3 linked regions of the Oryzias latipes genome follow. The protein of the gene in region 1 interacts with the protein of each later gene in a biochemical or structural test. Links are inferred from orthologs where the notes say so. Each region holds a gene or a part of one and is shown on either strand. Other genes may lie near its edges.

Region 1 (4,279 bases):
ATCAAACACATTGGGAAACACTGATAAGGTTGGGTTGGCATAATGTAAATTCTCATTAACCATTTGCACTGTAGTGGTTCATTTTGGTCTCAATGGACTATCTTTCAGAGATTCTGCTTCCTATTTATTACATCCTAATGGATATCTTAGCCTCCATGCTTCTAATTTGTCAGTATAGGACTCAATGTGTAACCACAAGGCTCTTTAGAACAGAAGATTGTCTTGCTCCATTTAGATCGAGAACTGAAAGATTTCCTGGATCCTGGATGAAGTGGTGACTCAAACATCAAACTTCTATGTTTTATCAAAAACATGTGTCCATGGCAATTGCTTAGAATGATTCCTTAGAATTTGATAGTCTATGTTTATGCTGTAATTGGTTTTTATCTAATAGGTACCATCTGCAGACTACAAGTTTTGATTTTCTGTTCACTTTTGATACGCGCAACCTGATTCTGCTAACGATTTTTCCAACTTTAAAGAAGTCAGTATTAAATATTGTAAAAAAAATAAAATTATAAATATTTGGCTAAATCAGTGATGTGACATTGTCCATTCCTGGTAGGTTCCATTCCATACATGTTAGTGTTTCTCCGCTCGATTTAATTTTGTATTACTGCTCAATTTCAGTCTCACTGATACATCCAGTTGGAGCAGTTTGATTTATTTCAGAGCTAGATTGGTTGGTTTACTGTAAAGTAAAATAGTTAAGATTTAGACTGACTCCTATTTTACCTCTTCAAATTCTCCTCAGATCTTATCTCAGAGTTTCCATTTGTAGCAACAATATCTTGCACTCTTAAATGTTGAGTAAATATGACCTTGTTTACTTCTGCGTCATGGAACATGAGATCCGGCAAAGCTCCTTCATTGTATTAATATATTACATCATGATACAGTTGTGTAGATTGACAAATATGTGTGTGGTGTTAGTCATACATCTTATCTTATGGCTGACCTATCACCATCACTCTCCTCTATCAGTTCTGGGGAGTGACTCATCTGCAGTCATGTGGTTCACTGGTCATGTGAGACATTGTTCCACCATGAAAGTGAGCAGGAAAAAAAGTGTCTGCTCGTGAGTCATGTCATTATCCTAGCTTTGCTTCTTAATATTAAACATTACCACCGCTCTGTATTGGAAAGCAGAGTAATTATCGGAAATAGACCAGCCTAGCTAACAATAAGCTTCCATTAATAAACTGGACTGTCAACAGCCATGGAAAAGAAATCAGAGCAGCAACTGGCTGTTACATGCGGAGTCATATAACCAGTGTCGTGTGACGGTAATGTCACAGTTATTATAGTTTTTATTTTAAAAGAAATATCCTTTAGCTCAGTGTTTAGCAGTTTGTTGGATCCCTGCTCAAAACAAGTAATTTAGCATTCTAGTTTATCACTTTGGAAGTCTCAGCATTAATGCTGTTGTGCAGCTTTAAATCTGTCTTACAATCCAAATGATCTATTTCTTCAACTTGAGCTTCAGTTTGATTCAGAATTATGTTGAAAGTCTTTCATTTTGATTTCCTGTAATTTCCTGTAATTCAATAGTAGAAGGTAAAAATATTTGTTGGAGGAAGGAGCAGCGAAACATTAGATGAACTGCAGTCACAGGAAGTGCAGTCCTGAGTGAGTGAGCCAAAGCAGATGTAACAGTTCACTAGACATTCAGCGTAAGTCTGCCTTCTTCAAGCTGGTTTTTCTTTCTTTTTAAAAGAGTAAACAAGATTGAATAAGATCGAGAGGGCAGACTTTCGATAATGGCATAATTACTTGTGTTTTACTGTAACTTTGTTTTCTGTTAGGGGGTCTGCTCTGGTTTTAAAATTGTTCATTTGGGTCAAGTATCCAAACAGAACCACTGGCCCCTTCTGACTTAAAGCTGAGATGAGCCTGGAGAGGAATGTAGGTTGTCACCAGAGCTATTTTGGCAATGTCCAGTCGCTAATGATTGTGATCACAGCGGAGTGCGCAGCAGTTGCTTTACTTGCTTCTTTTTCCTACCAGCAAGTGTGATCATGCTGCTCTTACAGGCGCTGCAGGGATTAGGGAGTTAAACAAATGGCGCGTCGGCTCCGCTTGCATTTCGCGTCAAGGAGAAGCAACACGGACCCCCTGTCACAAAGCCCGAGCAGCCACGATGAGGAGAGCGGAGTTGGTGCGTCTGTACGTAGTCCCACACAGAGTCTGGCGCACAGTTCTGTCCACTTGAAGGTGACTCCTCTGTCACCAGACTTTGCCAACAGTCAATACTCTTCAGTTTTCATACCGAGAGTTAACACTGGAGGGTGTAATACGAAGAGCGTTCTACAAATCTCACTGCAGCCCTGTGGACAGCTCAGTGGAGAGCAGGATGGCAGCATAGAGGATGGAGACCCTGGGGTTAATGAAGGCGGCGGAGGGTCGTGCCACAGCAGCATGGCAAGTGATGCTGGTTACTGCAGCAGCAACAGCATCTTTGAACCGGAGCCTCCAGAAAAGCACAAGACCAACCACGAGAGAACTCGACTCTCCTGGAGAACCAGAGTCCCACTGCGGAGGTGCTCGTCTTTGGTTATATTTCCAAAAAGCCCCTGCAGCACTCCACCTGCCTCCCCAGTGAGTTCAGGAGCTTTGCCACCTCTCCTGCCAGCAAGAGGATCTAGTCATTCAACTCCTCAGTCATCTACCAATACATTTTCACAAGACGACGAGGAAGTAAGTTACAAAGGGTCCACCACAGCTGCAGTCAGTTGCCAAAGTCAGCCAAGAGGAAACTGTTCAGCAGCTGAGGACTCGAAACACACGGTGCACTTTAATCTGCCTGTACAGGATAAACAGCAGTCCAAAGCTGAGAGCAGGAATGCAGGGGCAGAAGTTTCATCAGCTCCAGACAGGTCTAATCGTCACTCAAGTAGTTTGCTGCTGCATTTTACCCCCCACAGTCCACAGGGCTCGACAAAGGCAGCTCTCAGTAAGGATGCAAATGTGGAATATCCAGAGGCTCATCACCCTACTAATCGTGCTGAGCATGTACATGATGGGAAAAAAAAACTGTATCGCAGTACCTCTGCTTGTTTGTTTCCTTCTACAAAACCATCGCCCAAAAGGAAGCCTTGTTTAACGGGGAATGGCCAAGACTGGTCTGAGGATGGTCGCTGTCACCGTGCCGTGCAAAGGAGTTTTTCCCTCGAGGTGCCGTACCCTAACACCGAAATTTCATGTCACGTTTCAAAACCGAAGCTCAGCAGCTCTTATTCTCCCCATGTGCATATTCATTTGTCGCCCTGTTGCCCCACAAAGTTGCCCAACTCTACCAATGATGTAAACACAAGCCATAAATGGAATAATGAAACAAAGAGTTCAGGTCAGAGCACCAAGGTGAGTGCTATATTTAACGCTAACACCGACTAACAGCTGAATGCCTGAACTGGGATGTTGTGAAAACTAACATCTGTCAGAATTTTTTTTTAATGTAGATTATTGCCATATAGTTTTTCTGTGACATAAGTTCTGCTGAAAAAGTTGCTAAATAAGTCTAGCTTACAAAGATGTAATCTTACCCATCAGGATACTATTTAAAACGGGGTAATTGGTGCAAAATGCAAATGACAGGGTTTTATAAAATATGTAAATAACAAATAATTTAGAATTTTTGCTACCAGAAAAAAAATAGTTTCAATAAAATTTAAAGAACAATGCTACATATTAAGTACACATTTGTTTTTTCTAACTCTCCTTTTCATTTACTACCACTAAAGTGTTGCTTACAAGGGTTAGCCTTCAGGCTTTGTTCAAGACGTGCTGTAACTCCATAAGATCTTGAATACAAAGTCACGCAAAGAACAAGTACAGTGTGGACAAACACTTAGAGATATTGATTTACATTATATTTAATCCTTCCAAATGTGGATTTCCAAATAATGTGTGAATTGCAAAGACATGGTTCTTTACCATCTTGGGGGCATAACAATCCAATGTTGGGCAAACTCAACAGTTCCCTACTTTTATGATTCGGTTAGCACTATGAAGGATCAACTTAAGTATATCCCAAGGCTAATTTTAGTGGTGGGAAAAGTGCTGCCCCTTGCTGACTTAAATAAAGGGGCTCTGAAATATTCCCCCTGACTCCAGATAGTCTGGTGGACTGAAGCACTGCTTGGTCCTGTGGATTCAAATTTAACAGCATGATACTAGAGCAGCACACAGTCATGCCAGCCATCTGTGGACATGGCATGTGTGTGCGTGTTTCCCAGTACGTGTGCTGCCTGCACTGTTGTTCGTCTTCCAAGCAATGTTT
Region 2 (4,095 bases), on another chromosome or scaffold:
ACTCCCAGAGGTCATTTTTTTAAAGATATATATATATTAATTTAATCAAATTTCTGTGTGTTTAGGCTCAGATTCCATGTTTTTTTACACGGTGGATTACCAAAACACTCCTGGTCCGGCCCTTCTTGCAAATTTTAGAACCTTTTATGGCCCAAGAGTCAAAATGTTTGCCACCCCTGCTCATCCAGACTTATCCAGACACATCCAGACTTATCCAGACTTATCCAGACCATTACATGTTTGAGATGTTTCTTTCAGAGAGACCATATAGACAAGAAGCCTTGAAGTCCACCAGGACCAGCTTTTAGTCCAAGACCGGTGATTCTGGAAGCTATTTGATTTTTTTAAATATCTATTTTCCAAGAATGAGTTAAAAAATGTTCCAGTGTGATTAAAAGATGAAACACAGATTTTCTTTATGGAGCAAAGGGAAGCAGAATTAGGCTGTTGATTTTGCAGGTCTGTAAAATAAAATTGAGACAAAAGACAAGCAAGTTCAACAAGATAAACATATAAGTAGAACACAGGAAATCAAAATCCAACTCTTCTAACAGAAATGCTCCCAAAACAGTTGATATTTGTGAATCTTTGCATGTATTTATTTAAGTACCCCCCCTGGTTGACACTCTGTTTACCCCATTACATTTCTTCTCTTATCACAAAGAAATACTGTTGAAATAACAACATAAAAGAAGTGTCATGTAAAATACCACATTGCAGATATCCTGTTTAAAAAATTTGGGGTAGATTTGTTTTGGATGTGAGCCAGCCTTGCACATTTTGTGGATCACAAGGGAGACTTTTTTATCATATGTTTGTAAATTGTATCAACACAAATATATCTTGGACTGATGTTTGAAATTATATTAGCCCTAAAACTGGGAGAACAATCAGACTTTCAGAATAAGATGTAATTTCGGGGTGTTATGATGACATCACAGACCAGAACTATTTTTTATAATAACGTTTATTTTGTTTTTAGGGAAATTTCTTAATCATAAAAAGAAATGGTCAAACTGCAAACCAAACTTTGAACAGTCTCTGCATGAAATACAACAAGATGGTAAAATTATCAAACAAATTAAAGCAAAAAAGCCAAATTTAACAAATTTCTTCTGTTGTACTGTGACTGTCAAGGTCTGTCTATATGTCTGTATTGTTTTATTTTTTTTCTCCTTGGCAATTTGTTGTATTTTTTTGTTTTGTTTATAAATCAAATGTATTAATTAAAAAAAGAAGAAAAAAAAGTTCTCTTGTAACTTGCACTCTGTTCAATAAAGTTGCTCAAAAAAATCTAACAAGACCAGCAATTTGCGTCATGACGTCATGACGCAAACTGTTGTCAGACCCCCCTCATTTAACGTTCATTGTTTGAGGCAGGACTGCTGAAAAGGTGAGGTAAGTCTACACAACAAACGGCCTATTTGGATTTCTGTTTCTGAGAAAAGATGGAAAAGTTGAATAATTTAAAAACTTTCTTTGAATGCTAACGGGCTGAAACTGTTCGGTCAACTTGATGTGGGTTAGCCTGCTAACGTTAGCGCCTAGTACTACTAGTGCTTGGTTTGCTGTTAAATTAAACAAACCAGCGTGAACTCTTTTTGCATGTTTTTCAAGTTTGATGAATTTATGTTAGTTGTAAATAAAATAAATAAAAAACACGATTTAAATTGGTAGAAGCTGCTCCAGCGCTGAACAGTCGTCTGTTAGCCTAGCTTAACCCCTCAGAAAGATGTCGTAACAAAGAGCTGGAAAACCTTTTGCTGTCACACATTTACTGCACTTCTCGTCGTCAGCAGTTCGATTGTTGTGTGTTTGTTTTCGTCATTGTGAAGCTGCTTCCAGCAGTTTGTTGTGTTTGCTCTGACAGCATTTAGCATGAGCCTCCTAAAGGATCAACAGCAAACTAAAACAGGCTCCAGCTCTGCTGCACTTACCTAACTTTGAAAGACTTTTATTGTGAAAGAGCTTCTAAATCACTGATCTTTATGATATAAATATGGGAATACCACTGTCTGTTATTAATATAGCTGCTTTGATTTTAAATGTGGAACATAATATCCTAAAAACAAACCACTGACACCTCAGATTATTATACAAAGAGTCGACAGTGTCGATGCTGTGTCACTCATAACTGACTCCTGCTGGACCAAAAACACCATGAAAGGCAACCAAGTTAAGAAACGCAGCTGATAAAAATCAAAACACAATATTTGTCGTTCCCATGTCTGGCTCTATAATGCCCCAACATTGAGGAGGTGCTTTTCATTTTGACAAATAACCTCCAAAACATAAAAAGATTCATTTCAAATAAGAGTCAGTTTGAAATGGATCTGTATTCTGCTAGATCAAAGGGGAAACCGAGAGGAACGGGGGACAAAAAGCCAAAAACACGAAAAAAACTATTAATTCCACAAACCTAATGAAAAAAACCCTACACCTTTAGGAAAGACTCCGTCACATAAAAGGTCAAACACTTGTTGGCGGGGAAAACGGGGGCACACGAGCGCGAGAATCGTTCAACATCTGGAAGCTGGGCGCACATCCATTAGTTTTTTTCCTACAGCTGATTTTGTTTTAACATTCTGAAGCACTTTGTGAGTCGCTCTCGGAGAAAGGTGCTATATAAATAAAGATTTACTTTACTTACTTTCTTACAATGTTAAAGTCGCCGGCAGACGGGTGTAGACGACTCTTTCCATGCGGCAGCAAAACGTTTCGGAAAAAGTGTGCATAGAAAATGAGCCTCGCCATGCAGAACACTTTGCTGAACGTGTGAATTACGTGTTTTTGACACCAATTTAACAGCTGAAAGTTCCTATTCAAGCCTAAGAAAAGTCTAATACAAAACAAGCCAAATTATATTCACAGCAGACATTTGAAACGTAAAGGGAAATGAATTCTTTTTTTTCCCCCAAAGTTGTGCACAACTTTATCAATGAGCATCTGTTTCATTGGACAGTTATATAACCCCGAAGTACTACAAATACTAACATGTATTTCTCTGTGTCTGTAATGCTTCTCGTCGTTAATCACCAGCATCTGTTGACTGCAAAGAATTGTGGGATTGTATTATCCTGTCCAAAAAATCCTTTCCTGTCGCCAAAGGAATTATTGAAGGAAAACTTTTTCATTGAGTTGAGTTCAAATGTCTGTTTTGGTTATTTGTGGGTCGTTGCACACAGAAAAGGTTTCGGTTAGGGTCTGTTGCCTCTGAACCGCATCACCTCTGTCCTCTGAACTGTTGCCGTCTCCTGAAGTCCTTTAATTGCTTTCAGATTCAAAACTGCATGTTTTCGTAGGCAGGATGTTGCGCCTTCGTTGCAAGACCAAAAACGGGAGCCACATAATGCATGGTTTGACTCACCAGTCCTGCGTGCAGGAGCTTAAGAGCAAGGTGGAGGAGCTGACGGGGATTCCCTGTGATGTACAGAAAATCATGGTGGGTTACCCGCCATCCAGCCTTGACCTTCGAAATGGAGACGCTCACCTCAAAGACTACCCCATCAAATCAGGTACGTCCAGCAGCGGAGCAGCCTTTAAATCTGCTAGTATGATAGGAGAGGTAAACAAACTATGCCACAAATAATAGGAACTATTTTCAAGCTAAACGCCTTTCAGTTTTATTTTGAGTTTTAGTGTAGAACCAAACCCAGTTGTGGTGATGTGGTAGGCAGTTCTGTAGAGGGGCGGGTGTCCCTACATACCATAATAAGCCGGTGTGTGACTCAGCGCTGTCGTCGTCTCCACAGGAGACACCCTGATTGTGGAGGAAGAAAAGAACAAGCCGAAGCCTCTGGACCAACCGGTCGTGAAAGCTCCGCGCCTCGACGCCTCGCCTGTGCTGGCACGCCGCGTGGTTCCGGCGGACAACTCCTGCCTCTTCACCAGCGTGTACTACGTGGTGGAGGGAGGGGTGTACGACCCCGCCTGCGCGCCGGAGATGCGCGGCCTCATCGCCCAGATCGTGTCGAGTGACCCCGCGGCGTACTGCGAGGCGGTGCTGGGGAAGACTAACGAGGACTACTGCGCCTGGATCCGGCGGGACGACACCTGGGGGGGGGCCATCGAGGTCTCCATACTGTCCAAGTTTTA
Region 3 (3,426 bases), on another chromosome or scaffold:
ATCCTGAGGTGGATTCTCTTTCCTGTTTCTCGACGAGACTCATCAAGAGATGCAAAATGTAGACATGGCAAAAGAATCGCAACAAAGTTAACTCAGACTAAAGTCTGACAGAAAAATTAAAAGGAACCCTTAAGAATGTGGGAAACAAAATTGATTTACGGGTAAAAGTGAGTCATTTATTCCAAAAAAACTGAACACATATTTGTCCAAAGGATAAAACACTGCATATTACTCATGAAAACATTGTCTCTCTCTGTGGATGCTGATGTTCTGTTTGGACTTCCTGACCTAAACGATTTCTCAGCAAACACTTTGGCTCCTCTTTCATTAAGACACTTTTCCAGTTAAGAGTGCTGCTTTGTGATGCAACAGATGGTCTGTGAACTCACAACACACTTGAGGATCCAGCTGCTGTGAAAAGATAGGAGCCGCCAGCCAAATTAAACTTTCAGAAGCTTGTCCTAAAGAATCAGAGTTCGTTTCAGACTCCAGAGGCGTCGCCATGATGTTCTGTGCCTGTTTCTGTTTCATCTGATGAAGACTGACAGTTTCCTTTGTGGATCTCTAAACAGAAACACGTTTAAGGACAAAGCAGCTTCGAAATGGAAGGCTTTGAAGGAAGCAACGCTCCTCTGAACTTACTGTTGACCGTCCATCCTGAGAAATGGACTCCTTTAACAAAAATGACAAAAGCAAAGCATTGATGTCATTCTAGAAAAAAAAAGTATTTTATGATAGTAAATTTGATATCTGTATAAAAGAATTTCTGTGTATAGCTGGAAATTTGTTTGGTTGTGTTTAAATACATCTGATGAAATGAGGTAGCATTTATTTTTATTTTTTTATTGTCTTGTATACTATAATTTATGTTAAATAGGTAATAAATATTAAGGTGTTGTTAGACAGCAGCATTAAAGAGAAAACTTTATATTGTGTTTTTTCCTAAATTATAATACTACACTGTAGTTAATTATATTAATGGCTTGTTTTTTATATAAACATACAAATTAGATGTTCATCTTTATATGAAGCATGTTTACATAACAAATGATGTATATTTTTTACATAAGCTGGTGTGTTAAAATGTCATTTAATAAAATAGCTAATGAAACCTTTCCTGACTGATTACATTTTAGATTTTTCTTTGTCCATATCTTCAGTGGAGCATTCCTTAATAATGAGTAGTTTATATGCTACAGATTACAGTTTCAAGACAAAATTAGTTTTTAAAATTAAGACATTACATTTTTTATTGAAATATAAAGCATGTTAGATGTTTTTATATAATTTCCTAAAATACAATAAATTGTCTTGAAGCATATTTTAAAAAAATTGCATACACTATAAAACAGGTGCAAACTTCAAGATGGTTTCTTCTTTTTACTAAAAATAGAGAAACAGCGCCCTCTGCCGTCGCTGTGAGAACAAGCATCCAGCTTGTTTAGCTAAGCTAACGTGGGAGCTGCAGAGATGGACGACGGGGACGAGCCGGGTTTGGTGCTTTCTCACACCTCTTCGGGATCCAAGACGGGGAGTGACAAGATGTTTTCCCTGAAGAAATGGAACGCTGTGGCCATGTGGAGCTGGGACGTGGAATGCGACACGTGTGCGATTTGTCGGGTACAAGTAATGGGTAAGTGTTTGACAGCTAGCTTGGGACGCATACCCGGCTAACCCGTGCTAGCTTAGCTAACACGGACGTGTTTGGTGGATGTAGGCTGCTTGGTGCTTTAACTTTATTTCTGACACTTTTACAGACGCGTGCCTCCGATGTCAGGCGGAGAACAAACAGGAAGACTGTGTCGGTAAGACGCCCCGAGCTCTAAAAGTTGCATCAACAGCACAATCGGTTAACCGGATATGCTAAAGAGCGTTATCATCAACCCTGCGTCCCACCACAATAAAAGCTCAGGCGCGCAGCTTTCACGATATTGAAAGAAAAAAGTTATTATTATTATTTTATGTAAAATACAACAAAAGAACATAGAACAATAACAGTGAGAATGCCAGAGTTTGGCACATACACTACAAAACACATTGTAATACATTAAAAACATCCAACCATAGACAGCTTTCTTAATGTTTTTGTAGTTTTCTTACATTGGCAACAAAATAAACACTGAAAACAAAAAAACTGTTTTGTGATTTTTTTAAATTTACCAAATAGCCTGTAATAAAGAGATGAATTGCCACTTTTATGTTCAAGTTCATGTTTTTTAATAATTTGAATAAAGCAATCGTTCGTTATACATGTCCTCCATCATCAAAAAACAAAAAAAATCACAAGAACATGATAAGAACGCCAAAAACGTGATTTTCATTGGAGGTGGTCTTTAATAGTTTGAGACACAATCAAACGAACTTTAATGTTCTTCCCTTCTTCATGTGAAGATTTCTCTATAATCTGTCACAGAAGTCCTGCTGTGTTTGTGAAAATAAGAGTACTAATGAAAACGTACATGTTTCATACAATATATTGTCTTTGAACATGTTTGTCATTCAGTTTTTAACCTGTTTGTCTGCCTCCATCTTCCAGTTGTTTGGGGGGAGTGCAACCACTCCTTCCACAACTGCTGCATGTCCCTCTGGGTGAAGCAGAACAACCGTTGCCCCCTCTGCCAACAAGACTGGGTGGTGCAGAGAATCGGCAAATGAGGACTGAGCCCGTGTTTTCTTCAGAGCCGTCCCGGCCTTCTCCTGTGCCGTCTTCCTGCTCGCCATCGCATGTTTCCTGTAGTCACAGCGTAAAAGGAGGGCGGGGAACAAAAACGCGTACAGATCAGCTGCTCTACCCCTTTAGAAGCCTCATGGAGGGATGGATGACAATTTACAGTGTTTGACATTTAAGATTAACTTTGATGTATGTTGCGATGTTTGGCACAAGAAGTGGTTTTTATTTTAGAAATAAAAGAATTGTGAAAGCTGCAGGTCTGTTTTCATTTGAATAGTTTCCATTAATCCTATATAACCATTTGCATCATATTTTATACATGCCTTCCTGAGACCCCAATATTATTAACATGATCCAAACTTTCTTTAAAAACCATTGGTCCATGTTTTCTGTCCTGTAATTCATCATCATTCCACTAGGGGCAGTAGAATGACTTTTCCTGCTGATTTCAAAATGGCTGTTTCCATGAAATCTCAAAAACACTTGACGGGAAACGTTTAGCTAATTTTCTAAATTTTATGCTGAGAATAACTCATCTATTGTTTTACACTTTTCTAAATGACTACTGAAAAAACACACAAGTCTTTGATAATTAACTTTTTATAACACATTGACCCAATGTGGTCACATTTACCCATGGGTCAAATGTGAGAGTGGATAAATAAGGTGATTTTATTTTCCCCTAAACACTAATTTTTTTTTCCCTAAGAACTAATGTCAATTTTTTTGCATCTTAAAATTACATTGTTGTGAGA

What was found.
Region 2: the proteins of nedd4 (region 1) and yod1 form a complex in vitro, tested with the Homo sapiens proteins (2 studies listed by BioGRID, with this or other methods). The link is inferred for Oryzias latipes from reciprocal best matches to the Homo sapiens genes NEDD4 and YOD1.
Region 3: the proteins of nedd4 (region 1) and rnf7 form a complex in vitro, tested with the Homo sapiens proteins (2 studies listed by BioGRID, with this or other methods). The link is inferred for Oryzias latipes from reciprocal best matches to the Homo sapiens genes NEDD4 and RNF7.

What each region holds. Positions count from the first base shown.
Region 1 is NC_019861.2:21,566,873-21,571,151, forward strand, and holds the start of nedd4 (E3 ubiquitin-protein ligase NEDD4), read left to right. Parts: upstream 1-1,479; 5' UTR 1,480-2,061; coding exon 2,062-3,360; intron 3,361-4,279. UniProt on the Homo sapiens protein: E3 ubiquitin-protein ligase which accepts ubiquitin from an E2 ubiquitin-conjugating enzyme in the form of a thioester and then directly transfers the ubiquitin to targeted substrates. Specifically ubiquitinates 'Lys-63' in target proteins.
Region 2 is NC_019863.2:31,016,624-31,020,718, forward strand, and holds the start of yod1 (ubiquitin thioesterase OTU1), read left to right. Parts: upstream 1-1,295; 5' UTR 1,296-1,393; exon of another isoform or gene 1,394-1,398; intron 1,399-3,278; 5' UTR 3,279-3,307; coding exon 3,308-3,515; intron 3,516-3,752; coding exon 3,753-4,095. UniProt on the Homo sapiens protein: Hydrolase that can remove conjugated ubiquitin from proteins and participates in endoplasmic reticulum-associated degradation (ERAD) for misfolded lumenal proteins.
Region 3 is NC_019871.2:22,564,810-22,568,235, reverse strand, and holds rnf7 (RING-box protein 2), read left to right. Parts: upstream 1-1,412; 5' UTR 1,413-1,470; coding exon 1,471-1,633; intron 1,634-1,757; coding exon 1,758-1,805; intron 1,806-2,536; coding exon 2,537-2,655; 3' UTR 2,656-2,926; downstream 2,927-3,426. UniProt on the Homo sapiens protein: Catalytic component of multiple cullin-5-RING E3 ubiquitin-protein ligase complexes (ECS complexes), which mediate the ubiquitination and subsequent proteasomal degradation of target proteins.